Anolis sagrei: one gene and its partners. The protein of the gene in region 1 interacts with the protein of each later gene in a pairwise test. Links are inferred from orthologs where the notes say so. Each region holds a gene or a part of one and is shown in the gene's direction. Other genes may lie near its edges.

Region 1 (6,929 bases):
TTTTAATAGCCCCCCCCCCCCCCCTCAATTGAGGAATGGACAGCGAAAGTAATAGAATATATGAATACGCAACTACTTAAAGACCATAACCAACTGGCTACCACTGAAAATTTACCTGCAAGAGAAGATGAAATTATAAAAATTCGGAAAAAGAATGGGGAAAAAAAGAAAAGAAAAAAACCCCGAAATAACAAAAATAGCGGACTATCCACAAAAATATTATTTGGGAAATATTATCTCTCTGTGGCATGGACTGGAAGTCCCTTAACCCCCCTATTTTTCTCTATTCACCCCACTCCTTCCCTACTTCCCCTCCCCCGTTCCATCCCCTTCCCACTCTAGTCCAACCCCTCACTAGTAACCCTCCTCTCTATCTAATTTCCTACTTTCTTTCACTCCGGTTTTGTTCCCCTGCTTTCACTGTTATTATGAAAAGATGGCAAATAAAAATGATAAAATCAGAAATCACTATTAATAGGCTTTGTGTTCCAGCTAAACACCAACCTTTATCTCTGTAAAATGATCACATTGCACACATTCATAAATGACACAGGTACACGTTTCTGTCTTTATGGAAAGCTCACATGCCACAATACAGGATTTTTGAGGCATCTTGTTCTGTATGTATAAAAGGAAAGCTTCCAAGACTTAAACAAGGGATATCCTTTATAAGAGGCATCAAGTAAGAGACATCTGGACATCAAGTAAGAGACATCCCATAGGGACACCAGGCAAATGAATATGCTATTGAAGCCAATGGGACGACTTCACTATTGTGTGTTTTGTTTGCCAGGGGAGTTGTTTTTGCATATGTGCTGTAGCATCTTTTTGATTTTTTAGCTTTTTAAGACCCTCCGCTGTGTTTTTCAGTGTTTTTATTAGTGATGGTCACTTGTTGGCCTGATAGGTGTATTGTGTCCAAATTTTGTGTCAATTCGTCCAGTGTTTTTTGAGTTATGTTAATCCCACAAGCTAACATTAGATTTTTATTTATATAGAAGATGTGGAAGGGGCCAAAAATAATCCAAATCAGATAGTGTGGATTTTCTGCTTTGATAAAGTGGATTGTCTGGCAGTGTAGAATGGGTTTGAGCCTGCCACTTTTGGACTCTCGCTTGCTGAGGTGTTCCAGCGAGTGTCTCTGTAGATCTAAGAAAACTATGTCTTGATTTAAGTCAACGTGCTGGCTGATACCCAAACGGGGGATGAGCTGAAGGGGTCTCTGCCTTGGTCCTTTCACTATTGGCTGCTACTTCCCGGCGGATGTCAGGTGGTGCAATAAGCAGTGTAATGTCTCCAGTGGTGTAGGGCGCAGACACCCCGTGATAATGCGGCATGTCTCATTAAGAGCCACATCCACTGTTTTAGTATGGTGAGATGTGTTCCACACTGGGCATGCATACTCAGCAGCAGAGTAGCATAGTGTAAGGGCAGATGTCTTCACTGTGTCTGGTTGTGATCCCCAGGTTGTGCCAGTCAGCTTTTGTATGATATTGTTTCTGTTGTTGTTGTTCATTCGTTCAGTCGTCTCCGACTCTTCATGATCTCATGGACCAGCCCACGCCAGAGCTCCCTGTCGGCCGTTACCACCCCCAGCTCCCTCAAGGTCAGTCCAGTCACTTCAAGGATGCCATCCATCCATCTTGCCCTTGGTCGGCCCCTCTTCCTTTTGCCTTCCACTTTCCCCAGCATAATTGTCTTCTCTAGGCTTTCCTGTCTCCTCATGATGTGGCCAAAGTACTTCAACTTTGTCTCTAGTATCTTTCCCTCCAGTGAGCAGTCGGGCTTTATTTCCTGGAGGATGGACTGGTTGGATCTTCTCGCAATCCAAGGCACTCTCAGAACTTTCCTCCAACACCACAGTTCAAAAGCATCGATCTTCCTTCGCTCAGCCTTCCCTAAGGTCCAGCTCTCACATCCGTAGGTTACTACAGGGAATACCATGGCTTTGACTAGGCGGATCTTTGTTGCCAGTCTGATGTCTCTACTCTTTACTATTTTATCGAGATTGGACATTGCTCTCCTCCCAAGAAGTAAGCGTCTTCTGATTTCCTGGCTACAGTCTGCATCTGCAGTAATCTTTGCACCTAGAAATACAAAGTCTGTCACGGCCTCCACGGTTTCTCCCTCTATTTTCCAGTTGTCAATCATTCTTGTTGCCATAATCTTGGTTTTTTTGACGTTTAGCTGCAACCCGGCTTTTGCGCTTTCTTCTTTCGCCTTGATGAGAAGGCTCCTCAGCTCCTCCTCGCTTTCGGCCATCAGAGTGGTGTCATCTGCATATCTGAGATATTGTTTCTAGCACCCACTTTTTGCTTGATGTTCAGGCAGTGCTTCTTGTAGGTCAGAGCACGGTCCAGAGTGACTCCAAGGTATTTGGGTGTGCTGCAATGCTCCAGTGGGATTCCTTCCCAGGTGATCCTCAGAGCTCGGGATGCTTGTTTCAAAGCAGATAATGTAGATTTTATACAGAAAGGACCTCGAAGAGGTGTGAGGATTCGTGACCTAAGCCAAGCCTTATTCCTACTTGAACAGGCCCAGTCCTGTTCAACATCTTTATTAATGACTTAGATGAAGGGTTAAAAGGCATGATCATCAAATTTGCAGACGACACCAAATTGGGAGGGATAGCCATTGCCAATACTCCAGAGGACAGGAGCAGGATTCAAAACTATCTTGACAGATTAGAGCGATGGGCCAAAACTAACTAAATGAAGTTCAACAGTGACAAATGCAAAATACTCCACTTTGGCAGGAAAAACGAAATGCAAAGATACAGAATGGGGGACAATAATGCCTGGCTCGAGAGCAGTACGTGTGAAAAAGATCTTGGAGTCCTCGTGGATAACAAGTTAAACATGAGCCAATAATGTGATGTGGCGGCAAAAAAAGCCAATGGGATTTTGGCCTGCATCAATAGGAGCATAGTGTCTAGATCTAGGGAAGTAATGCTACCCTTCTATTCCGCTTTGGTTAGACCACACCAGGAATATTGTGTCCAATTCTGGGCACCACAATTCAAGAGAGATATTGACAAGCTGGAATGTGTCCAGAGGAGGGCGACTAAAATGATCAAGGGTCTGGAGAACAAGCCCTATGAGGAGTGGCTTAAGGAGCTGGGCATGTTTAGCCTGAAGAAGAGAAGGCTGAGAGGAGATATGATAGCCATGTATAAATATGTGAGAGGAAGCCACAGGGAGGAGGGAGCAAGCTTGTTTTCTGCTTCCCTGGAGACTAGGATGAGAAACAATGGCTTCAAACTACAAGGACATGAGGAAGAACTTCCTGACTGTGAGCCATTCAGCAGTGGAACTCTCTGCCCCGGAGTGTGGTGGAGGCTCCTTCTTTGGAAGCTTTTAAACAGAGGCTGGATGGCCATCTGTCAGGGATGATTTGAGTGCAATATTCCTGCTTCTTGGCAGGGGGTTGGACTGGATGGCCCATGAGATCTCTTCCAACTCTTTGATTCTATGATAACCCACTTCAAAGCAGATTTTGTGGGATTTTCTGCCCTGGCATTCTGGGTCCACACTGCCATACAATCCAGTTCAAATCAGATAATGTAGAATTTATACAGAAGGGACCTCGAAGGGGTGTGAGTATTCCTGACCTAAGCCAAGCCTTATGAAATTGCCACAACACACAACTTGGAGGCACATGTAACTTGCTAGCCAACCACAAGTTCGCTATGCTGGGTTTCCTCCCACTTACCTCGCCCCCTTTTGTAATGTTATGGACTGTCGTCACTTCCGCCGCAGGAGGAAAATGGCTCCGAAACCCAAGCCGGAAGTTGAGTGCTGGCTGTTCCACCCTCCCTCGGCCAGGCAGGGACGCAGCTGCGGTGGCCACGTGACCCTTGGAGCGAGGGGACGGGCCTGTTCGAGCACGCGCCCCTCTCCGCTCTCGCGTTGCTGCTCGCTTAGAAGGAGGGCGGGCTGCCGGGTTTGGCAGAGTTTGCTGCTGACGCGTCGCTGTTAGGGGCGGGGCAAGCGAAGGGGCGTGGCTTAAACCTGGAGGCCGGTGAGTGGGTAGGTGGACGCCTCGCGCGCGCCTCGTTCTCCTCAAAATTGGGGGGGGGGGGGGAGTGGTTGCTAAGGGATTACTCCATGGGGGGGGGTTGTTACCTGGCAACGGCCAAACTTGGGAGGAAATATGGCCACTCCGCCTCAGGACTGTCCTGCTTTCAGTTGCTCTCAACCAGGGCTGAGTTGCATTCTTCCATTTAGGATTACACCTCCCTTGACTAATTTCTTCTATTCCAAAGGAGCCCTTGGACTGTATTTAAGCCCCCTTGCCCATAACATTGGCAGGCAACTGGTTCTTTGGCCTGCTTGTAGAGGAATTGCTTTCCCCACGCCATTTATTATGAAACTAGCCGTCCCCTGCCACGCGTTGCTGTGGCTCAGTCTGGTGATCTGGAAAATAAAGTAATGAGAAAATGTTGGCTTCTAATCTATGTAATTTCTTGATGCTTGTGAGTAAACAGTATTTATTGCTGTTTCTTTGTCAATGTAGATGTGAAGATTGTCTGGTTTGCCTATTCTGGAATATGCAACATATAATTGTGCTTCTTTAGGGGTCCCTTTCAAATCTATGATACTATATCTCTCTTTGTATCAATCTTATATATCTATCTATATCTGTAGCTGGATGGCTCTTTGTCAGGAGGGTTTTGATTACATTTTCTTGCTCTGGTGAAGGGAGTTGGACTGGATGGCCTTAAGTATTTTCTGCCCCAATTCTGTCGTTGGTGGGGTTTATTTTTTTAAAAAATTTGTATTCCGCTCTTCTCAGCCCTTAGGCGACTCAGAGCGGTTCACAACAATTTACGTATACACAATACAAAATCATTAAGTATTTAAAAGCAATAGCTCCACAAATCATTAAACATCATTAAACATCAATATCAATACATCACTACATCAATATAACAAATCCATCAGGTCTCATCAATGAAATCAGAATCCAAACTCGTTATCCGATATTCCGTGTTCCGATAGTCAGTCAATCAATCACACTATTTAGTCGAATGCCTGTTCAAACAGCCAGGTCTTTACTTTCCTCCGGAATGCCAGCAAGGAGGGGGTCGATTTAATATCTGCAGGAAGGGCGTTCCACAGCCGAGGGGCCACCACTGAGAAGGCTCTGTCTCTCGTCCCCGCCAGGCGTGCTTGTGAAGCCGGCGGGATCGAGAGCAGGGCCTCCCCAGACGATCTTAATGTCCTAACTGGTTCAAAGGAGGAGACGCGTTCGGACAGGTAGGTCGGGCCAGAACCGTTTAGGGTTTTAAAGGCTAAAGCCAGCACTTTGAATTCTTCCCGGTAGCAAATTGGCAGCCAGTGGAGCTGGCGCAGCAGTGGAGTGGTATGCTCCCTGAGTGCCGCTCCTGTTAGCATCCTGGCTGCCGATCGTAGGACCATTTGAAGCTTCCGAGCAGTCTTCAAAGGCAACCCCACGTAGAAAGCGTTGCAGTAGTCTAAATGGGATGTGACTAGAGCATGGACTACCGTGGCCAAGTCAGGCTTCCCAAGGTGCGGGCGCAGCTGGCGCACTAGTTTTAACTGTGCAAATGCTCCCCTGGTCACTGCTGAAGCCTGAATCCAAGATCCAAGATCACACCCAAGCTGCGAACCTGCGTCTTCAGGGGGAGTGCGACCCCGTCCAACACAGGCTGTAACCCTATACCCTGTTCGGCCTTGCGACTGACCAGGAGTACCTCTGTCTTGTCTGGATTCAATTTCAATTTGTTCGCCCTCATCCAGACCATCGCAGCAGCCAAGCACCGGTTCAGAACCTGAACAGCCTCCTTAGTAGTAGATGGAAAGGAGTGACAGAGTTGGACATCATCTGCGTACAGATGACATCGTATCCCGAAACTCCGGGTTCAGAATGTTCTTTGATTGTAGGTGAACTATAAATCCCAGTAACTGCAACTTCCAAATGTCAAAGTCTAATTCCCCCAAACTCTATCTGTGTTCATATTTGGGCATATGGAATATTTGTGCCAAATTTGGTCCAGATCCATCATTGTTTTGAGTCCACAATGCTATCTGGATGTAGGTGAACTACAACTCCCAAACTCAAGGTCAATGCCCACCAAACCCTTCTAGTGTTTTCTGTTGGTCAGGGGAGTTCTGTGTGCCACATTTGGTTCAAGTCCATCATTGGTGGAGTTCTGAATTCTCTTTGATTGTAGGTGAACTATAAATCCCAGCAACTACAACTCCCAAATGACAAAAACAGTTTTTTTGAGTGATGGTTATTTATTTACCGTGTCAGCTCAACCAGTCGATTATATTACATTTCTAACAGAACAAAGCAAACAAACAGACAGAATACAAAATTTGTGAGTTTTGTAGTTGATTAAATGTCCTTTGACCAGTAGCTGGCCACTTGGAGTGCCTCTGGTGTTGCTGCAAGAAGGTCCTCCACTGTGATGAGTGATGGGCACTCATTAGGTTAGTAGGAGTTTTGTGGCCAAATTTAGCAGCAATTCGTCCAGTGGTTTTTGAGTTATGTTAATCCCACAAACTACCATTACATTTTTATTTATATAGACTAGCCATCCCCTGCCATGCGTTGCTGTGGCCCAGTCTGTGTGTATGTGCTTTGTGTGTGTATATTTGTGTATATGTGTATATATGTGGTTTTGACCCTGTTTCAATTTTCTGGCATTGCTTTCAAGATAAAATCCTATATACATATGGTTGTGCCCAACTTTTAATTAATCAAATTGTAAATAATCTTTCATTGCAGAATATTTAATCGTGTTCTTTGGAGATGGCGCAACCATTGGTTGAAAGTGAAGAACCTTTGTTCTCTGAAGAGGTATGTGGATTTATTTGCCATTTTCTAGGCATATTTCTAATAATTGTATTCTCTTTATCTGTTTTTCACTAGTTAATTATGTCCTAAGCTTGCTAATTAAA
Region 2 (7,029 bases), on another chromosome or scaffold:
AAATGCCTCTAGAACATGGCCATATAGCCCGAAAAAACCCACAAGAACTGAAAGACTTCAGACTTGATTAAAATTATAGCTACATGCACATTTGTAATGGAATTGTTGCTGTGTGTTTTCAAGTTGTTTCTAAATTATTGCAACACTATCCATGCATTTTCTTGGCAAGATTCTTCAGGGGGAGAGGGTTGGCTTTGCCCTCCTCCGAGGCTAAGACACTGGCTTTTCCAGATGAGCCAGCAGGTTTCCATGACCAAGTAGGTAGTCAAACCCTGGTCTCCAGAGTCATAGCCCAACACTCAAACTACAATACTGTGCTGGCTCTCGCCCATGTGCACATTTGCAACAGAATAAGGCTCAGAAAACACAGTGGGAACCACTTCTGAGTATACATCCAGAAGATTTGGCTCCCCCCAGATATTCCATATATTTGTTTAAGGCTAAAAAAAAAAAAACCCCATCATTCTCTTAGCAACATACACTTTGAGTAACTCAACATGTGGTTCTGATCTGCAACTAGCAACATATCCTACAGCTCCCCACATAACCCCCTCTTGAATCCCAAATATGAAGTCTGCTAAGATTTTCCCATTTTGTCCACAAAGCTTACCAACAATGACCCTTGCAAAGGTGCGATCTTCAACATTTTCTTCAGAATAGACCATGCTGACAAATGCCCGGTTGGCAGCTGGCTTTCCCACAGGAGCCCCATGGATCAAGTCCCTTAAGGTCTTCACTCTCAAATTACTGGTCTTCTCACCAAGCACAAAGCTGATAGCATCCATGAGGTTTGATTTCCCTGGTTAGATACAGCAAAGACAGAACAAATTGAAACCATGTTATCAATATTATGTTGATGTTTTCATTGTCACAGTTTCTTAGTCTCAAGATTTTAGCAACGAATAATAAAGACTCCGAATTATTACTGAAGAAGGTAAAGGAAGCAAATGCAAATGTTAGTTTACAGTTGAACATAAGAAAACAAAAATAATGACCACAGATAACCTTCATAACTTTAAAGTTAGACAAACTGATTGATTGAATTATTTTCTTTGTTTTTAAATGTTCAAGGAGCTCCATTGGCTGCTGTTTATTTTCCAAGCCCAATTTAAGGTGCAGGTGCTTACCTACACAGCCCTAAATGGTTTGGGACCATCCTACCTACGTGACCGCATCTCTGTTTATGAACCTACACGTTCTCTTCGTTCATCCGGAGAGGCCCTGCTCACGATCCCACCTGCGTCGCAGGCATGTCTGGTGGGGACGCGAGACAGGGCCTTTTCTGTGGTAGCCCCCTGACTCTGGAACTCCCTCCCTAAAGATATCAGACAGGCCCCTACCTTGGTAGTCTTTAGGAAGAACTTGAAGACCTGGCTGTTCCGATGTGCCTTTCCAGAATAGGAAAACTCCAGTAACATGTCCCAGAAGCACTTTATTAGAGTTTAAGATTGCCCGCACACTGCACTTACCCTAAAATCTGATATACCACCTGCCACATCAGCCTGTACTCATTTTAACCTGTACCCATTACATTGGCCCGGCCCTGTTTTCTTGTGTTTTGGTATATTGTTTTATTGTTTTGTTGTTTGATATTGCTTTAATTGCTTTGATTTGTTTTAAGTTGTGTATTTTGTTATGCTATGTTTTTATTGAGGCCTTTGCCTGTGTAAGCCACATCGAGTCCTTCGGGAGATGCTAGTGAGGTACAAATAAAATTAATAATAATAATAATAATAATAATAATAATAATGTAATGTATTGCATATGTATGTTGTAAACCGCTCCGAGCCTTCAGGGAGTGGTGGTATATAAATTCGATTAATAAAATAAATAAATTAAAAATTAAAAAAACACTGAAATAGTTCTATACTTTGCCTCACTCATTAAACAGAACGCGCTGCAGTCAAGAAATCAGAAGAAGACGAAGGCCCCTTCTATACTGCCAAATAAAATCCAGATTATCTGCTTTGAATTGGATTATATGGCAGGGTAGACTCAGGTCCCTTCCAGGATCGGATCCCACGTTTTCTGCTTTGAACTGAATTATACGAGTCTGTGAAGCCGAGCACCCCCCCCCCCCCCAGAATGGGGGATGGTGACTTGTAGCCCTGCAAAGGGCAAGCGCACCAGACTGCACAGTAAGGGGTTAAGTCTTGGTCACATTGCCAAGGCACTGACAACAACAAGGACCCCACGAGGCTTTTGGGAAACGGCTGGATCTTGGGACTTCTGCCCTTCGTGAGAGTCGTAGTTTCCCAAGGACCAAAGTGTGAATCAGTTGCAGCACAGCTGGGGTTTCATCTGCTAGCCTTCCCAATGATCATGGACTCTCTGCCTGCATGTCTTGGACTTCAGTACATACTATCTCCCTCATGAACTTTCCTCAAAGACCTTTTAAAACATTGGACTTCAGGCTTCTTCATGAAAATTAATCCTCTTATTAAATATATTTGGGATGTGGGACAAAGATGGGGTTTTGTTGCTATGAAATGCTTATGATTTGAATGTATGTATCTTGCTATGAAATACCTTTTGCCCCCTTTACCCTTGCCCAAAAAAAGGCGACCAGGAAAAACCACTCAGTGCCTGAGGGGGCTGTTGTTCCCTCGAAACCAACCTTATCACAGACATTTGCATGTACAATAGCAACTGGAAATTCTTTGTTTATTTTTTTCTGAGTTGGCCTGGTAAACAGGGAATTTCTCTGATCACATTTTAATTTAATCACAAAGGGGCGAGACTGGCCCCAGGGGTCTTCTTGCCCTGCTCTGTTTGTTTCATCCAAAAACCTATCAAAACCAACACACCTTATCTGATCCTGGAAGGGGAAAACCTGAATCAAATGATTATCCCTAATCACTGATCCATCACAAGAACAAAAAAACTGGTTTCCTTGGCTGGCTGATCCCTCGGGCAAAGGACAGTGGAATGTCATCATCCTCTCTGGACACAATGCCCCTCTTCCGTCCTGCCTCCCTCTCCCTGATTTGCTAAGGAGCCGAAGAGGGAGGGAGTTTTGAAACTTTCAAATCTGTATTTTGCTATAAATATGCCTCTGATCAATGTATTGGTATGCTTGCATGTGAATGATCACTGCAATTGCATCCGCTTCAGCTGAATCGCTAATAAACCTCGGTGCCACTTCTTCACCTTGGCAAGAGTCTCATTTCAATTATTAATATCAATAAAATTGCTGGAATCAGGCTTCTTCTGACGGCTCGCCAAGGACAAGGGACTCTCTTTGGTGCAGTCCTAGGAGTCTCTTCTACCGGGGAGACTCTCCCAAATTCAGGCTCAATATCATCTGCACTGCCAGATAATCTGGGATAAACAGAAAGCCTGGAATAAAGGGCCTGCCTGGAAGGACCCTCAGTCTACAGGTACTGAGTAGTGTGACTGAGCATTTGACTCTTAGGCCCCTTCTACACAGCTGTTTAAAATCCATATTATCTGCTTTGAACTGGATTATACAAGTCCACACTGCCCTATAATCCAGTTCAAATAAGATAATCTGGATTTCAAATGGATGTGGTAGGACCCTGGGTTATCTGGACATGCTCCCTACTCTACCCTTCCCTGAAATGCCATGCGATTCGGTGTTGTGTCCTTAGATCCCGGGGAGGCCCGCCTTACCGGATCCATTGGGCCCGATGATGGCCGTGAAGCTCTGGAAGGGCCCGATGATTTGCCGCCCTTTGTACGATTTGAAATTCTCGATCTCGATCAGCTTGAGGAACCCCATTCCGCGGGTTGGGGAAACGGGGGGGAGATAGAAAAGGTGGACGCAAAGCAAAACTACGGGGCGCGGTGGGGGACACAAGGCCCCGTAGGCCCCTCTTGATTACTACTCTCGGCCGCCGTCCACGAGAAGGGCGGGAGTCTTGAAACCTCGCGAGAGTTGATTACGGCTCACTTTAGGCTCCGCCTCTTACGACATCGCGGTCGCTGATAGGATGCCGCTGCCGCGTAAAATTTGCATTCGGAGCTCCTCCCCTTTTCCGCCTCAGCTCAGCAGGGGACCTCCTTCCTGCGGCAAGCTCCGCCTACTCCGAACTTCTCACTGTGCTGATAGGTTCGAGCGCAGCCAATGAGCCCTTTCCAAAGATGACATCATTTAAAGTGGCTCGTTGTCACAGCAACCAGAAAGCAAGCGCCGTCTAGGAAAGGTGAGCATCAGGCGAGTCGGGTCGTGCAGAGGAAGGGGCCTCTGATCAGGTTGCCTACACTTTATGGCACTACAAAGCCCAGCAGCCCTGGCCTGTTGAGAGATGCTGGGAGTCTCAGTCCAGAGGCGGAATTATAGCATCTTATTAACTGCCATGGCTCAATAATATAATATATTGTATATACATATAATAATGATAATATTATAATGTAATACAATATAATACTACTAATAATATGATAATTATATATTTTATATTAAATGTAATATTACTAATATTACAGTATAATGTTATAGTACAATGTTATATATATATAATGTAATGTTTGTTTGTGGGATTAACAGAACTCAAAACCCACTGGATGAATTGACACAAAATTTGGACACAAGACACCTAACAACCCAATGTATGTCCCTCACTCAAAAACATGATTTTGTCATTTGGGAGTTGTAGTTGCTGGGATTTATAGTTCACCTACACTCAAAGAGCTTTCTGAACCCCACCAATGATGGAATTGAACCAAACTTGGCACACAGAACTCCCATGACCAACAGAAAATACTGGAAGGGTTTGGTGGGCAGTGTCCTTTGGTTTTGGAGTTGTAATTCACCTACATCCAGAGATCACTGTGAACTCAAACAGTGATGGATCTGGACCAAACTTTGTGAATTATGACCAGGAATGTTTTGACGATGTGGCTGTGTAAGTGTGATGATGACGGTGTTGTATTGTAATATGTTTTTAATTGTGTAATGATAATACATTGTGTGGTTTGTATTTTTGTATACGAACACATGTTGTGAACCGGATCTGAGTCCCTCTTGGAGATGAGAAGATCGGTATAGAAAACTTTTAAATAAATAAATAAACTTTACATGAATACTCAATATGCCCAATTAGGGAAAATAGAATCTTAACATTTGGGAGTTGTAGTTGCTGGTATTTATAGTTCACCTACAGTCAAAGAGCATTCTGAACCCCACCAACGATAGAATTGGGCCAAACCTCCCACACAGAACCCTCATGTGGGCCACAGCAACACTTGGCAGGGGACGGCTAGTAATATTAATATTGTGCTATGGTAATAATATAATATAATGTATTTATTTTTTGCTTGTAAGCCGCTCTGAGTCCCCTTCGGGGTGAGAAGGGCGGCGTATAAATGTCGTGAATAAATAAATAAATAAATGCTATGGGATTCTGGGATTTGTAGTTTTGTGAGATACTTCCCCTTCCCTTCCACACAGTCATATAATCAAGAATATCAGGGCAGATAATCTACAGTATCTGCTTTGAACTGGATTATCTGAGTTCACACGGCCATATAATCCAGTTCAATGTGGATTTCATACAGCTGTGTGGAAGGGGTCAGAGGGCTCTGGTGCCACAACAAGAAACGAATCCCAGGATTCAATAGAATGGAGCCATGGCAGTTAAAGTGACTCATCACATTGTGGATAGTCACTGAGGCCCCTTTTACGCTGCCATATAATCCAGATTATCTGATCTGAACTGGATTGTTTGATTAGGTACCAAAATATGTTTCTTTTAACACAGAGGATTATGAGCCATGTAAATTAGTTTTTGAGAAACAAATAGATGCTTTGAAGGAAATCCTCCCTCCAAGGAATAAGGGTATATTTTTGCAGATACTACTTATGTGGTGCTTATAATGTCTGAAGCTCTAGATTCCATCTAGGAGTAGGGAGAAATACGAGGGTTGAATTAAAAGTAATGCCTCCACCTTCGAAACTCTTCAACAGATGGCAGTACTGGTATGCGGCAGGTACTGGCTTGTTCAGTAGACTCTCCTCTACAGTTCCATTTTGGCGGGAAGCCTTAGCATTGAATGGTTGTGTTGTTAAAGTGCAAAGTATGGAACCCTGTGCAGATGGTCGGTCAATGCGACTTAAGCAACGTGCAGTCATTGAATTCTTGACAGCAGAAGGTGTCACCCCAAAGGAGATTAATCAGAGAATGCAAGCTGTTTATGGTGGTTGTGTTGATGTGAGTACTGTGCATCATTGGGCGAGTGAGTTTAAAGATTTTGAGGTGGGAACATCTGACTTGCGTGACAAACAAAGAGTTGGACGTCCTGTGACAGCAAGCAAAAGGTTGACAGATTGATTAAGGACAATCGTCGTATCACTCAGAGAGAAATCTCAAGCATAATCGGCATTTCACAAGAACGTGTGGGTCACATTATTGCTTTGCTTGGCTATCGGAAGATCTGTGCAGGATGGGTCTCGGAAACAAAGTGTCGACTTCTTCCATGATGGCTTCAGAAAAATTGTTCATTGTTGGCAGAAATGTATCCAATGGTCTGGTGATTATGTGGAAAAGTGAATAGTGGTAGCTAAAGAGCACATTCTAAGGATTATTTCTGCATTTGATTTATTAAAATATTCCCATCCAAACCCAAGTAACAAAGGTGGAGGCATTACTTTTCATTCAACCCTCATATATATATATTATATAATGATGAGTCTACACTGCCATGTAATCCAGTTCAAAGCAGATAATCTGGATTTTATATGGCAGTGTAGAAGGGGCCATAATATAAGGCTGATTACCCTTTAATTGGAATTCTGAAATTCAAAATGCTCCAATTGATAATGTGCTATTTCATGAACAACATTTATTTTAAAATATAATGCACTCAGTTATTTTCAAGCACTAGACATATAAGATGCATGTGAAAAATCACTAAATGTTTATGGATGGTTTCAGGTGGCCCATCTCTGTGGTGTGACTTTAAAAGTATTTTGCTTGAGACTCTGGACAACTACAAGCATTTAGTATAGTAAACATTAAAATAGATTAGTATACATACAGTCCTTGAGTTACGGACAAGATAAATTCT
Region 3 (7,462 bases), on another chromosome or scaffold:
TCATTGGTGGAGTTCAGAATGCCCTTTGATTGTAGGTGAATTATAAATCCCAGAAACTGCAACTCCCAAATGTCAAGGTCTATTTTCCCCAGACTCCACATTTGGGCATATTGAGTATCCATCCAAGTTTGGTCCAGAGCTCTCATTGTTTGAGCCTACATTGCTCTCTGGATGTAGGTGAACTACAACTCCAAAACTCAAGGTCAACGCCCACCAAAGTTTTCCAGTATTTTCTGTTTGTTGTGGGAGTTTTGTGTGCTAAGTTTGCTTCAATTCCATTGCTGGTGGATTTCATAATGCTCTTTGATAGTAGTTGAACTATAAATCCCAGCAACTACAACTCCCAAATGACAAAATCAATTCCCTCCCCAATCCAAATAAATTTTGGGTGCATTGGGTGTTTGTGCCAAATTTGGTCCAGTGAATGAAAATACATCCTTCCCAGAATAAGGACTCCCAAGCAATATGTCCCAAATGCACTTTATGAGAGATTTAGAACCTATCTCTAAAATAGCCATCCTATTTCCCTTGGACATGCCCAGCATTTTTAAATTTTAAGCCTTACATTTGGCCCTGCCACAGGTTTTTAAATGCATCGTGTCATTATTGTATTGTTTTGCTTTGTTATGAGTTATTTATTGTTGTATTGTTGTTGTTATGTTTTATTATGTATTTTGGGCTCGGCCTCTTGTAAGCCGCACCGAGTCCTGTGGGAGATGCTGTCGGGGTATAAATAAAGGATTATTATTATTATTATTATTATTATTATTATTATTATTATCCTGTATGTCAGATATTTACATTACGATTCATAACAGTAGCAAAATTACAGTTATGAAGTAGCAAAGAAAATAATTTTATGGTTGGGGGTCACCACAACATGAGGAAAGGTATTAAGGAGTCACGGCATTAGGAAGATTGAGAACCACTGCTGTAAGACAACCTAGGTCATTCACATAGATGGATAGTAAGGATAACACATTAAGTCTAAACTGTACCACTAATGCAGTTTGACTCCACTACTCCTGCCATGGCTCAATGCTTTGAAATCCTGGGAGATGTAGTTTAGTGAGATAGCAACATTTTTTGGCAGAGAAGGCTAAAGATCCTGCAAAACTGCAGTGCCCAGCACTAAAGAGCATTGAACCACAATGGTTAAAGTAATGTCAAACTGAAATAACTCTGTGTTTTCGAAGTCTTTCATGGTCGGAATCACTGGGTTGCTGGGAGTTTTTTGAGCTGTATGACCATGTTCCAGAAGCATTTTCTCCTGACGTTTCACCCACACCTATGGCAGGAATCCTCTGAGGTTGTGAGGATGCCTCAAAAACCTCACAATCTCTGAGGATGCCTGGCATGGATGTGAGTGAAACGTCAGGAGAAAATGCTTCTGGAACATGGTCATACAGCACAGAAAACTCATAGCAACCCTGTAATAACTCTGCCACGTAGATGCATTTTAAGACTACCATGTATTGTTTCTGTCTCCCATGAAATTTAACCAGTGGTCATTTACAATTACCAGCTCTCTCTGTGCAGACCCCACCCCCTAAATAAAGGGGGGAAAACGGCTCTCTCTTTACTCAAATATAATTGCTCAGGGAAAAAGAGCGTCTCTTTGCTACTGCTCGGAGGATAGAGCGCTTCCTTCATTTAGGCCAGGTAATTGAATCCAAGGAGCTATATTTAACATACCTCTTTATCTAAATGAATTTATTGATGGGGAGGAAAATGGATGCGCTGCCAGAGACTCTGTTGCTGACCGTGTCGGAAATGATTAAGTTGATGGCTTCACAAAAGCTGCTTGGCTCCCTGTACCTCCCCATCGTCCACCCGCACAGCCGGCAGAAAAGGATGTAATCAAGGGGAGCCACATCTCCAAGGGTGGCTGGTAGCATCCCAGAAAGCATCAGACAGGAGTTGGTCCAGCTAGGGATTTTGTATCCACCCAATCCTGGTCAACCCTAGGACGAATGTACTTGCTTATTCAGGTTGAACACTGGGATGAACAGCCAAGCTAAGAGGGGATGCAGCAGTTTGTTTTTGCCAGAGTCTCCTGGGAAGGGAGGCCTGTTAGCGATAATCATAGCATTGTAGACTCATAAAGTTGGAAGAGACTTCTAGGGTCATCCAATCTAACCCCCTTCTGCCAGTAAAGCAGTGGTTCCCCAACCATTTTTTTTAACCAGGGTCCACTTTGACAAGAGGCCACTTGACCAGGGACCACATTCCAACATTAGTACCAAAAGGGTTATGAATCAATGTATTGTCGAAGGCTTTCATGGCTGGAATCACTGGGTAGTTGTAGGTTTTTTCAGGCTATATGGCCATGTTCTAGAGGCATTCTCTCCTGATGTTTCGCCTGCATCTATGGCAAGCATCCTCAGAGGCAGTGAGGTCTGTTGGAACTAGGAAAATGGGTTTATATATCTGTGGAAAGACCAGGGTGGGACAAAGGACTCTTGTCTGCTGGAGCTAGGTGTGAATGTTTCAACTGACCACCTTGATTAGCATTTGATAGCCTGGAAGTGCCTGGAGAAATCTTTTGTTGAGAGGTGATTAGATGTCCCTGATTGTTTTCCCTCTGGAAAATCTGGCTACCTGTTTTAAAAAACTCTAAAATTAAAACAGCAAAACAGCAGATCAATATAATAACAATTAAAACAATATGTAAAACATTCATTAAACCAGTAAAAAAACAGTATTAATAGCCATCTGCTCACCCACAGAAAACCATATTTAATTAGTCTCAGCACTATAAGGGGTTTTTGTGAGACCAGCTGCATTCATTGCAATGGTGTAGTAATGGTGAGTCTGCAAACCTATTTTAGTTCTTGGGGACCACTGGTGGTCTACACACCACAGATTAGAAACCACTGCTCACTCACAGAAAACCGTATTTAATAAGCCTCAGCACTGTAAGAGGATTGTGCGAGACCAGTCGCATTTGTTGAAATTCGTCCATGGACCATATTTTAGTTCTTACTGACCACTGGTGGTCCACAGGCCACAGATTGGAAACCACTGCTCGCTCACAGCAAACCATATTTAATAAGCCTCAGCATTATAAGAGGATTTTGCGAGACCAGTTGCATTCATTGAAATTTGTCCACGGACCATATTTTAGTTCTTATGGACCACTGGTGGTCCACAGACCACAGATTGGAAACCACTGCTCACTCACAGAAAACCATATTAATAAGCCTCAGCACTATAAGAGGATTTTGTGAGACCAGTCGCATTAAAATTCGTCCACGGACCATATTTTAGTTCTTGCGGACCACTGGTGGTCCGTGGAGCACAGGTTGGGAACCAATGCATTAAAGAATACAGAATCCGAACACTCCTGGCAGAATCTATCTAGGCTCCAGAGAAGTGGACTCCACCAGACTCCAAATCATCAGTGGATTTCACTATCAAAAGCTCTGACTGCATGATTTTTTCCCACTTTTGTTTGGATGGAATCTCTTTTTTTTTGCAATTTAAAGCTATTGCTCTGTATCGTAGTCTCTGAAGCGATGGAGAACACATCTTCCATGTGACCTTCTTGTGTTAAAACAGGTAATGGCCAACTTGGGCCCTCCAGGTGTTTTGGACTTCAACTCCCACCATTCTTAACAGCTTCAGCCCCATACTTTCGCTCCTCAGCGGCTTAAGCTGAGGCGGCTGAGGGGGGAAGGGAAAGGAAAGGGCCTGAGGCTGTTAGGAATGGTGGGAGTTGAAGTCCAAAACACTTGGAGGACCCAAGTTGGCCTATGACTGTTTTAACACAAGAAGGTCCCACGTGTTAGCCTTTTAACACAAGGCTATCATGTCCCTTGTTCATGAGATTCATGAGGTCACGAAGAGTCAGAAGCAACTGAACGAATGAACAACAACAAATCATGTCCCTTCTTTGCTATTTCTTCTCCAATCTAAACATACTCAATTCTCTAATTCCTGGTTCCCAGACCTTTGACCTTTTTGGACAGCCTCCAGTTTGCCCATCTCCTTCTTGAATTATGGAGCCCAGACCTGGATGCAATATTCAAGGTGGCCTAATCAGAATAAAGTGGTATTATTCCTTTCCTTGATTTGGAAACTATCCTCCTATCGATGCAGCCTAGGTTATGATAATACACACACTATGCATTTACTTCATCTTCACTGTTATTATTTATTTTATTTTAATTTATTTATTTGAATTGTGGTGAAGTGATCAGCAACAACCAATGCTCTGTCCTCCAGATGTGACTGGACTTCAGTCTCCGCTGTCCCTCATCGAGGGCTCTGTGGCCTAGGGCTGATGGGTGCTGCAGTCCGAACACAACTGGCGGCCGCTGCTGCTCTGAAGACTGGTGCTGCTGTTGGCAAGGAGCCCAGACCGTTGCTCTCGCTGGGGATTGGCGTTGGCTGGTGATGTCATGCATCTGCAGAGCCATAAACTTGGGGTCCTTGGCGAAAGCCAGCAAACTGTCTCATCTCCGTATGTTGGGGATGACAGTCCGGTTTGTTGTGTGAGCACAAACCAGAGAGGACCAGGCGACATCACAACTTGCTCACCCTCTTCTTTGATTTGCATTGTCCGCAAGAAAGCTGTGATTTGGGCCGGAGTCAAGAATCGAACTTTCTCCACTTGCCACACCTTCACAGACTGAGTGACCATGCAGTGGCACCAGCTTTTTCTAGCTGGCACTGGAGAATCATGATGGTAACGCTCTTGGAAAATTTGGGAATAAAACAGTGAACAATGCCCCCCGAACTGGAGCTCAGTCACCTCTCTGCGGCCATTTGAGGAGCCCCAATCCAAAGGGGTGCTGCACCTCTTGAAAATCTAGAGTGAGAGTGCCTTCCAATGGCAATCCACCCTGACGGCAAAGCTCGCTGAGGCCAGATCACCCTTTGCAGAAGGGGCCCTGGGTGTGTGTGTGTGTCAGTGTGTGTCTGCACACACAAGGCACTAGGACCTAGGAGGAGTCCCGGCAAATCTGGCAGGAATTTCTTGCTTGGAGCTCAGACAACAAAGGCAGAGTGTGGCTGGCTTTCTCTCTCTCAGCATCTCCACCCTGCAAGAGCTGAAAACCGGTAAGTATTCCTTGGAAGCCTTTCCAGGCAGAGAAAGCAGCAGAGATGGGATGCCAAAGGCAGGGGAAGGAAAGAGAGAGTCAGGCTGGAGATGAAGGAGGTCCACGCCCCATCCAAAGCTCTGGCTTTTCAAAGTTGCATTGAGCTCCCATTGTTTCCAGTGTGATGTTTAGAGAGCAGCGAAGTAGTGCTGGGTTTGGGTGGGGATGATTTTTTTGGCAACTCTGGTGAAGGAAAAGCAATGGGAAGCTCCCTTCCCTGCATGACAGGAGTGAAGGTCAGGGACAGGTCACCGTGACTCCTCGAAAAGGAAGGCAGAGACTCTGGCAGAAGGCAAGCAACAGCTTTTCTCAGGATTTGTACCTGATCACCCAGCCTTGAGGTTTTTAATCCCATTTCAGCTGTGCGAAGCTGCGATGAGCAGATGTGAGTTGCATGCTAATAGCCTTGGACAGCCAAGAGTGATCGGGCTCATAGGTTTCGTGGGATCCCTTTGGAGGGGCTGGGATCCTTTGCATCTCCAGCTCATACCTGAGATGATCCCTGTCACTCCCCTTTTCCACACTATTCGCACACTGAACTAAGGCGCTTTCCCAATTCCACTAAGCGTGCGCTCAGAGCAGTGAACAATGAAAGGTGCTCTTGCGGTGGCGTGATGAGACTGCATCTGTCAGACACCTTCAGCAATTAAAATACACTTCATTAACAGGAAAAGGAAGGGTGCAGGGAGAAGTAACCATATTCTCCAATTGAATGACATCTGGTGTCAATATCATTTCATATCAACTCACCCACTGCTCTTGAATACGGTCCCCGCCCCATACTTTTTGTCTGAATTTCTAGGATTTCAAGGGTTTTCATAGGGAGTGGTGACTCTGGAGATGTGAGTAAGTGAGATGTGACTGCTCTTCTGGCTTTCAGACACTCACAAAGGATACAGCATTGTTGCCGTATCTCTGTCCAGCCATCAGCCATTCCAGTTTGATTCTCATTTGAAAGGTCCCTTTGGCTCAGGCTGTCTCTCCATCAGCATCTGGATAGGTTTGATACCCGAGCACAGGTTCTCAAGTCTTTGGAAGGTGGGATTCCTCTCTTCATTGTTGGTTCTATCCATCTACCGCTGAAGGGAAGTTTTGCATCAAAACTGCGGGGAACTTCATTCAGTTCAAACTGTTTGTAGCTGGCATGCATCCTGAAGTGACGCCCACAAACCTCTCCATCACATTCTCCTATTATTAGAAACCCAGGGTTGAGCCAGAGATAGAAATCCTTTGGTTCCAGGTTGTGTATCATTCAGTCAATTGTGTTGTTGAGATAGGACCCTCCCATTCCCTGTGCCTTACTCCCAAAAATACACAGAGGAGGGGGAAGTCCTTTGTGGCATCAATCCAAGCAAAGTAAGACATTGGGCAAGGCTTCGTTTTATTGGAAAGCACAAAGTTTAGCTTGAAGATCTGCTGTTAACAGTGTTTTCCTCTTTCTAGCTGACTATATTTTGTTTCCTTTGCACTCTTTCCTCCTCCACCTCCCAGCTTCACAACTTCAGGGCTCACCGAGCTATGGAACTTGATTTTGGACACTTTGACGAAAGAGACAAGGCGTCCAGAAACATGCGAGGCTCCCGGATGAACGGCCTGCCGAGCCCCACTCACAGTGCCCACTGCAGCTTCTACCGCACCCGGACCTTACAAGCCCTGAGCAACGAGAAGAAAGCCAAGAAGGTGCGCTTCTATCGCAATGGGGACCGCTACTTCAAGGGCATTGTGTACGCCGTCTCTGGAGACCGTTTCCGGAGCTTCGACGCCTTGCTTGCCGACCTGACCCGGTCCCTGTCCGATAACATTAACCTGCCTCAGGGAGTGCGCTACATTTACACCATCGATGGCAACAGGAAGATTGGGAGCATGGATGAGCTGGAGGAAGGTAATGAGCTGCAAGCGATGCTGGTGCATGGAGGGTGGAGAACACTGCAAGCCTTGATGCTTCACGCATTATGAGCTGAGCATGCCTCAGGTTAGGGTGCATGAATGTCAGTGGAGGGTATACTATACCCATTGATTCACCTCCCACAGCATTAGAGTTCATTCATAAATTGGAGTTTCTTATATTCTTGATTCATCTAGATAAGGGAAGTTGGGAATATGAACAATGGACCTCAGAGGAAGATTTAGATTAAATCTTTATGGAAAATATCAGAGACCGGATGTGGGATTTCCTGCAAATAAATCATGTGGGTTGTTGTGAATTTTCCGGGCTGTATGGCCATGTTCCAGAAGCATTATCTCCTGGCATTTTGCCTGCATCTATGGCAGGCATCCTCAGAGGTTGTGAGGTCTGCTGGAAACTAGGAAAATGGGGTTTATATATCTGTGGAATGTCCAGAGTGGGACATTCCTGC
Region 4 (7,205 bases), on another chromosome or scaffold:
ATTTGCCTTTGCATTTTTTTCCTTTTGAAATAGCAGCTGTGTATAGAAAGTGTGTGGGGGAAGATTAACTCTTTCATTGAGTTGTTATAGGTTTTTCGGGCTGTATGGCCATGTTCTAGAAGTATTATCTCCTGATGTTTCACCAGCATCTATGGCAGGCACCCTCAGAGGTTGTGAGGTCTGTTGAAAACTAGAAAAATTGGGTTTATATATCTGTGGAAAGTCCCGGGTGGGAGAAAGAACTCTTGTCTGTTGGAGCTAGATGGGAATGTTTTAATTGGCCACCTTGATTAGCATTTGATGGCCTGACAGTTTTCTAGGTGTATTACTGCCTGGGGGAATCCTTTGTTTAGGGGTTATTAGCTGTCCCTGATTGTTTCTTGTCTGGAGTTCCTCTGAGTGTTGTTTTTTATTTACTGTTACAATTTTAGTGTTTTTTAATACTAGTAGCCAGATTTTGTTCATTTTCATGGTTTCTTCCTTTCTGTTGATATTGTCCACATGTTTGTGGATTTCAATGGCTTCTCTGTGTAGCCTGACATGGTAGTTGTTAACTCTTTCATTCCCCAACAAAGTACAAACAAACTCATCCAAATGCTCGTACCAGAACATACGTTTTAAAAGTACTTTGGCTTGTACTTGTAACTTCTGCTGGCAGATCCCTGAAAAGTTGGAAGCATAAATAATGGCTATTTTTACTGCATCAGTCTTCTGTCTCCACAGTCGGTAATGTCAACAATGCTGGGAACGTTGCCATTTCTCTCAATTTCTGTTTCCTTTTTTGGTTAATATATGGCAAATGATATAAAGTGTTCTTTATTCTTCTTTGCCAAAGAGTGCTATTAATTCATCAAAAGACACCTCCCATGATTCCATTGCATGGAGGTATGACAGTTTAAGTGGTGTCAAAGTGCATTAATTCTGGAGTGTAGATGCACCCTTAGAGCAGCCTTGGGGATGACAGAATAGATTCTATCTCCCTTGAGAAGTGCTGGCACAATATTCTTACAGGGGGGGGGGGAGGATGGATGGTGCTATGCTTATTCAGTTCTTATTGTACGTTATCTTTGCTAAATGAAGTAGCAGCCTTACTTTGCTTAACAGTAGGGCTGGCTTTATTAAGTAGCTACATATGATGAAGAAGAAGCATCATATACAATAGCTTCCATCTAGTACTTACGTTTGGCTCTTTAAATAGATTAAAAAGACAAATGTTCAAACATGTCAGAGGTGAAATGTCCAGGCTGTATTGGTCATATTTATAAACTAAACATGGGGAATGTATTGTTGTAGGCTTTCATGGCCGAAATCATTGGGGTGTTGTAGGTTTTCCAGGCTGTATGTCCATGTTCCAGAAGCATTCTCTCCTGATGTTTCACCCACATCTATGGCAGGCATCCTCAGAGGTTGTGAGGTCTGTTGGAAAATAGGCAAGTGGGGTTTATATATCTGTGGAATGTCCAGGGTGGGAGAAAGAACTCTTGTCTGTTTCAGGTAGGTTTGAATGTAGCAATTGGCCATCTTGATTAGCTCTGAATGGCTGAAAAGCAGTTTATGTGAAACATGGGAAAGTTGTTGTTGGACTCAGGTGCCATAATTTCCAAGCATTCAGGGATGATGGGACTTGCACTCCGACACCTATAAGGCCTCAGGAACCCCAACCCTGCAAAGAATCTGTGTTTTTTGCTAAAGCAACCAGGAAAGGTTTACAGTGAGTAGGAATGTTAACTTGTCACATTGAAGAACTTATTCTAGTCATATCTGTTATTCCACCTTGAATATATCTTTATAGGTTGTTGTATATCTTTATGATTTCTTCTAAGTTGCAAAATCCTCATCCTCCTGCCATTTTTTTTATAAAGACTTTTGCACTGAAGCCTATCATCAATGAAAGCTGCAAAGACTCCTTTGTGCCACCTTCTGCAGAAGAATCACAAAGCCCTGATACAAAGGGAAACCTACAGCCTTGCTGTTTATGTACCTTTAATTCAGTGGTTCTTAAAGCATGCTCCTTGGGGCTCCATGAAGCATGCCGAGGGACTCTGCAATGGCCCCTTGGGTTTCTGCTGCTGTTATTGTTGTTACAAAGCCTGAATGACCATCCCTCGGGGAATTATTTGATTGTGCGTTTCCTGCATGGCAGGAGGTTAGACTGAATGACCCCTATTATTATTATTATTATTATTATTATTATTATTATTATTGAGGTTGAGTAGCCATTAGGGCTGGGCGGTTTCGTTTCGTTAATTCATAATTCGTTAATAATTCGTTAATTTTTCCAATTACAAAACGATAACGAACCATTCTGGAGCAATTTTTTAAAAAAACGAATTTTTAAACACGTTTTGTAAATGCTTCGTATTTTGTTATTGTGTTCGTTTCGTTATTGTTCTGAGGTCGTTTCGTTATTATTTCCGCATGTCTGGGGCAAGTTTTTTGTTTAATTAGTGAAAAAAAATTATAATATCACACCAACAGTCAACAACAGAGGGAGAGGGAAGCTTCAGAAGTTTTTGGAGGTTTTTTAGCGTATTTCGCGGTCGCGTCCGCCATTAACGAATCGATTCGTTATTGATTCGGAAATCGATTCGTTAATGTTTTGTAATTTTTTTCACATTTACGAAATTTCGTAAATATCAAACTTTTTAAAAGGAAAATTTTGTAATTATTTTAAATATCGAAACAAAAAAGCCCCCAAATACAAATCGATTTTAGAAACAAATTTTTCCGTTGTTACCCAGGCCTAGTAGCCATCTGTTGGGGGTGCTTTGTGCTTTTCTTCCATGGCAGAAAGGGATTGAACTAGATGGTCTCCTGGGGCTGCTTCTATTATTATTATTATTATTATTATTATTATTGAGGTTGGGTGGCCATCTGTTGGGGGTGCTTTGATTGTGCTTTCCTGCATGGCAGAAGGGGGTTGGACTATATGGCCCCGGGATTGCTTCTATTATTATCATTATTATTATTATTATTATCATTGAGTCTGGGTGTACTCTTATTACAATGATGATAATTATGATAACAAAGGCTGGGTGGACATCTATTGGGGGGTGCTTTGATTGTGCTTTTCCTGCACGGCAGAAGGAGGTTGAACTAGATGGCCCCTGGGGTTGCTTCTATTATTATTATTATTATTATTATTATTATTGAGGCTGGGTGGCCATCTGTTGGGGGTGCTTTGATTGTGATTTCCCTGCATGGCAGAAGGGGCTTAGACTAGATTGCCCTGGGGTTGCTTCTATTATTATTATTATTATTATTATTATTGAGTGGATGTACTATTATTACAATGATGATAATTATGATTACAAAGACTGGGTGGCCATCTATTGGGGGGGGGGGGGTGCTTTGATTGTGCTTTTCTTCCATGGCAGAAGGGGGTTGTACTAGATGGCCCCTGGGGTTGCTTCTATTGTTGTTGTTGTTGTTGTTGTTATCATAAAGGCTGGGTGGCTATCTGTTGGGGGTGCTTTGATTGTGATTTCCCTGCATGGCAGAAGGGGCTTGGACTACAATGCCCTGGGATTGCTTCTATTATTATTATTATTATTATTATTATTATTATTATTATTATTATGTGGGTGTACTATTATTACAATGATGATAATTATGATTACAAAGGCTGGGTGGCCAGCTATGGGGTGTGTGTGTGTGTGTGTGCTTTGATTGTGCTTTTCTTCTATGGCAGAAGGGGGTTGAACTAGATGGCCCCTGCGGTTGCTTCTATTATTATTATTATTATTATTATTATTAATAACAATAATAATAATATTGAGAAGGCTGGGTGGCCATCTGTTGAGGGTGCTTTGATTGTGCTTTCCCTGCATGGCAGAAGAGGGTTGGACTAGATGGCCCCTGGGGTTGCTTCTATTATTATTATTATCATCATCATTAATATTATTATTATTGAGACTGGGTGGCCATCTGTTGGGGGAGTTTTGATTACGCTTTTCCTGTATGGCAAAAGTTTATGTTGGCCAAAAAGTTTGCCCATACCTGATATATTTAGATAGATAGGTAGATAGATAGATAGAAAAGCGGCTGGGGGGGGGGGGGAGGAAAGGGGCCTGAGGCTGCTAGGAATTGTGGGAGTTGAAGTCCAGAACACCTGGAGGGAGGGCCCAAGTTCGCCCAGGCCTGCCTTACAGTATAGACATCTCTTCTTCCAGCCTCCTTTCCCTCCCCCGCCCTTTTCAGATCGCACTGCGCAGGCGCACACCGATCCGCGTTGAAAGATCGCGAGAAGAGATTTCGGTCGGCTTCCCCGGCGGCGGGAGTTTGGGAGAGATTTGGCTTCTGAGGTAATAAGAAGAGACGGAGGAAAGGAACGAGGGACCCTTTGGTTCACGGCTAATGGACATTGTAGTACGACAGAAGGCCTTGGGGTGCATCTACATCACGCCTGGCCAAGCTTCGGCCCTTCAGGTGTTTTGGACTTCAACTCCCACAATTCCTAACAGCCGGTAGGCTGTTAGGAATTGTGGGAGTTGAAGTCCAAAACACCTGAAGGGCCGAAGCTTGGCCAGGTCTGATCAACACTGTAGAATTAATGCAGTTTGTTACCACTTCAAACTGCCACGGCTCAATGCTATAGAATCTCTATTCGTGCCTCTTCAAATTCTGCAGCACTGCTGGTCACAGCTGACCTCCAGCTGGAGCGGTCAAGGGCCAGGGCTTCCCAATTCTCAGTGTCTATGCCAGAGTTTTTAAGGTTGGCTTTGAGCCCATCTTTAAATCTCTTTTCCTGTCCACCAACATTCAGTTTTCCGTTCTTGAGTTCGGAGTAGAGCAACTGCTTTGGGAGGCGGTGGTCAGGCATCCGGACAACGTGGCTGGTCCACCGGAGCTGATGGCGGAGGACCATCGCTTCAATACTGGTGGTCTTTGCTTCTTCCAGCATTCTGACGTTTGTCCGCTTGTCTTCCCAAGAAATTTGCAGAATTTTCCGGAGGCAGCGCTGATGGAATCGTTCCAGGAGTTGCATGTGACGTCTGTAGACAGTCCACGTTTCGCAGGTGTATAGCAGTGTTGGGAGAACAATAGCTTTTATAAACACACACCTTGGTATCCCTACAGATGTCCCGGTCCTCAAACACTCTCTGATTCATTCGGAAAAATGCTGCACCCACAGAGCTCAGGCGGTGTTGTATTTCGGCGTCGATGTTGACTTTGGTGGAGAGGTGGCTGCCAAGGTAGCGGAAATGGTCAACATTTTCTAATGTTACACCATTAAGCTGTATCTCTGGCATTGGAGAGGGATTGGACGGTGATTGCGGAACAGCACTTTGGTTTTCTCAATGTTCAGTGACAGGCCGAGCTTCTCGTATGCTTCTGCAAAGGTGTTTAGAGTGGCTTGTAGATCTTCTGAATGCGCACAGACGACATTGTCATCAGCATACTGGAGTTCTAGTAACAGATGTGGTAACCTTGGTTTTGGCTTTTTCATCACCATTATTATGCTCATTGGTCGATATTCATGGTTTCTGTGCCCAGAGATTCAACCATCCATGGCTTTAAAACATGCCCACATGTAAACCTTGATTTTTTCTCTCTCTCCAGTACATTAGTCAACTCACAGCAAACCATTAGTCAGTTCTCACAATGGAAACAACTGTGTTAAATGAACCTACATCACTATGCTCCACTCCAGAAAGTAGTGGTCTGAAAAGCAGCAGCTCCTCAGAGAAACAGGTATGTTGCCTAATATTTCCAGTTCTCTTGTTAGCACAGGAGATTCAGTTAACCGGCACTCATGGGGATTGAGAGATGCTGGATAAAGGTAGTTTTTGGTTTTTTGGGAGTTTCTATTAAGAATATTCGACTTCTTTCTGTACCATAAACACTATTGGCTTGATATTAATATTAAAATATATAATTAAAAGCAAATAAAGGCAAACCATTTAATGTAATAGTTTTACAGTTTTGCTGCATTATAAAAGCCTTTTAAATTTAAAATATTATTTCTCTGTGGGTTTTTTGCCAGTTGCTTCAAGAGTTCTGGTTAACTGAATCTACTGTATTTCCAAATTGTTGTGAAGCCTGATTTTATGTAGAATTGTGCAAACCTTGGCTATACTGACAAACATAACTCCACAGTATAGTACATATGCCTATAACAGATCTATGTGTAACTAATTGGTTTCTCCAGTATTGAAAGTAACAATTATAATTAATTTGCTAAGGGATTCCTTCACTCCACTTGCAATTTATTTAGTTCCTATATATACTTGAGTTATGTCCCCGCAAATTGACAAAAAAAACAACAACCCCAAATCAAAAACCTGGTTTGATTTATATTCTGGTTAATCGCAGCATTGTTTTTGAACTGTTTGACTGCCTAGGTGCAGTGTTGTCACTAGGGCAGTGTAGAGGCCTGTGGTGGAGGTGACACCAAAAGGATGGCCACTGTGACAGCCTGTGCTGAACACATCGTGTCACTCCCAAGAACGGTCGCCTGTACCACAGTCTCCACACTGTGCCCTCCCTGTTGGGTTGCTCAGAGCAGGGAGAGGGGTGGTTTAATAATAATAATAATAATAATAATACTTTATTTGTACCCTGTTACCATCTCCCCAAGGGACTCGGTGCGGCTTACATGAGGCCAAGCCCACAATACAACATTGGAACAATAGCAACAGTAATAAAAACAATAAATAAAACTCATAAACAGAAAATAGCAATAAATATTAACAATAACACAACGACGTTTAAAAACCTATGGCAGGGTCAAATGTACTAATTAAAAATTTAAAAAATAATGCTGGCCGTGACAAGGTGACAATAAACAAGATAAAAATTTTGGAGAGGGATAGAGCGTGCAGACAATCCTAGATCACTACTAAAGTGCATTTAGGGACATATTGTTGGGAGTTTCCTTATTCTGGGAAGGCACAGTGGAACTTATTTGCAAATAAGCAAAAATGATAACCCCCCCCCCCCCCCCACGCATCCCTTGATGCTGTTGTGGCTGCTAGCGCTCCTGTGCTCACAGTCCTGTCCTGGCTTCAGTGGCAATGAAGTGCTCCTCATCTCCAGCTCCCAGGCTGTCAGTAACATTGTATAACGCAGCTTCAAGATGACTTGAAGCCACAACATGTAAATTGCTATTGCGCTCTGCAACATGTATTACAGGAGATACCTGCATAGTGGTTTGAGACTGTGTACCATTTTCAATGTCATCACTGGTTTGTTTTCAAATCCTT

Evidence for each region.
Region 2: the proteins of RINT1 (region 1) and RIBC1 interact in binary tests that used the Homo sapiens proteins (3 or more experiments, as listed by UniProt). The two-hybrid records come from large-scale screens. The link is inferred for Anolis sagrei from reciprocal best matches to the Homo sapiens genes RINT1 and RIBC1.
Region 3: the proteins of RINT1 (region 1) and DCX interact in binary tests that used the Homo sapiens proteins (3 or more experiments, as listed by UniProt). The two-hybrid records come from large-scale screens. The link is inferred for Anolis sagrei from reciprocal best matches to the Homo sapiens genes RINT1 and DCX.
Region 4: the proteins of RINT1 (region 1) and SFR1 interact in binary tests that used the Homo sapiens proteins (3 or more experiments, as listed by UniProt). The two-hybrid records come from large-scale screens. The link is inferred for Anolis sagrei from reciprocal best matches to the Homo sapiens genes RINT1 and SFR1.

Annotation. Positions count from the first base shown.
Region 1 is NC_090025.1:83,924,650-83,931,578, reverse strand, and holds the start of RINT1 (RAD50-interacting protein 1), read left to right. Parts: upstream 1-3,904; 5' UTR 3,905-4,020; exon of another isoform or gene 4,021-4,028; intron 4,029-6,756; 5' UTR 6,757-6,780; coding exon 6,781-6,828; intron 6,829-6,929. UniProt on the Homo sapiens protein: Involved in regulation of membrane traffic between the Golgi and the endoplasmic reticulum (ER); the function is proposed to depend on its association in the NRZ complex which is believed to play a role in SNARE assembly at the ER.
Region 2 is NC_090022.1:175,069,041-175,076,069, forward strand, and holds the start of RIBC1 (RIB43A-like with coiled-coils protein 1), read left to right. Parts: upstream 1-4,021; 5' UTR 4,022-4,166; intron 4,167-7,029. Other genes in the region: SMC1A (structural maintenance of chromosomes protein 1A), read right to left, coding at 611-799, 3,634-3,742.
Region 3 is NC_090030.1:18,943,248-18,950,709, reverse strand, and holds the start of DCX (neuronal migration protein doublecortin), read left to right. Parts: upstream 1-4,437; 5' UTR 4,438-5,064; intron 5,065-5,465; exon of another isoform or gene 5,466-5,490; intron 5,491-6,050; exon of another isoform or gene 6,051-6,143; intron 6,144-6,329; exon of another isoform or gene 6,330-6,461; intron 6,462-6,596; 5' UTR 6,597-6,623; coding exon 6,624-6,987; intron 6,988-7,462. UniProt on the Homo sapiens protein: Microtubule-associated protein required for initial steps of neuronal dispersion and cortex lamination during cerebral cortex development. May act by competing with the putative neuronal protein kinase DCLK1 in binding to a target protein.
Region 4 is NC_090023.1:213,235,213-213,242,417, reverse strand, and holds the start of SFR1 (swi5-dependent recombination DNA repair protein 1 homolog), read left to right. Parts: upstream 1-4,202; 5' UTR 4,203-4,304; intron 4,305-4,512; exon of another isoform or gene 4,513-4,714; intron 4,715-4,767; exon of another isoform or gene 4,768-5,018; intron 5,019-5,562; 5' UTR 5,563-5,604; coding exon 5,605-5,694; intron 5,695-7,205. UniProt on the Homo sapiens protein: Component of the SWI5-SFR1 complex, a complex required for double-strand break repair via homologous recombination. Acts as a transcriptional modulator for ESR1.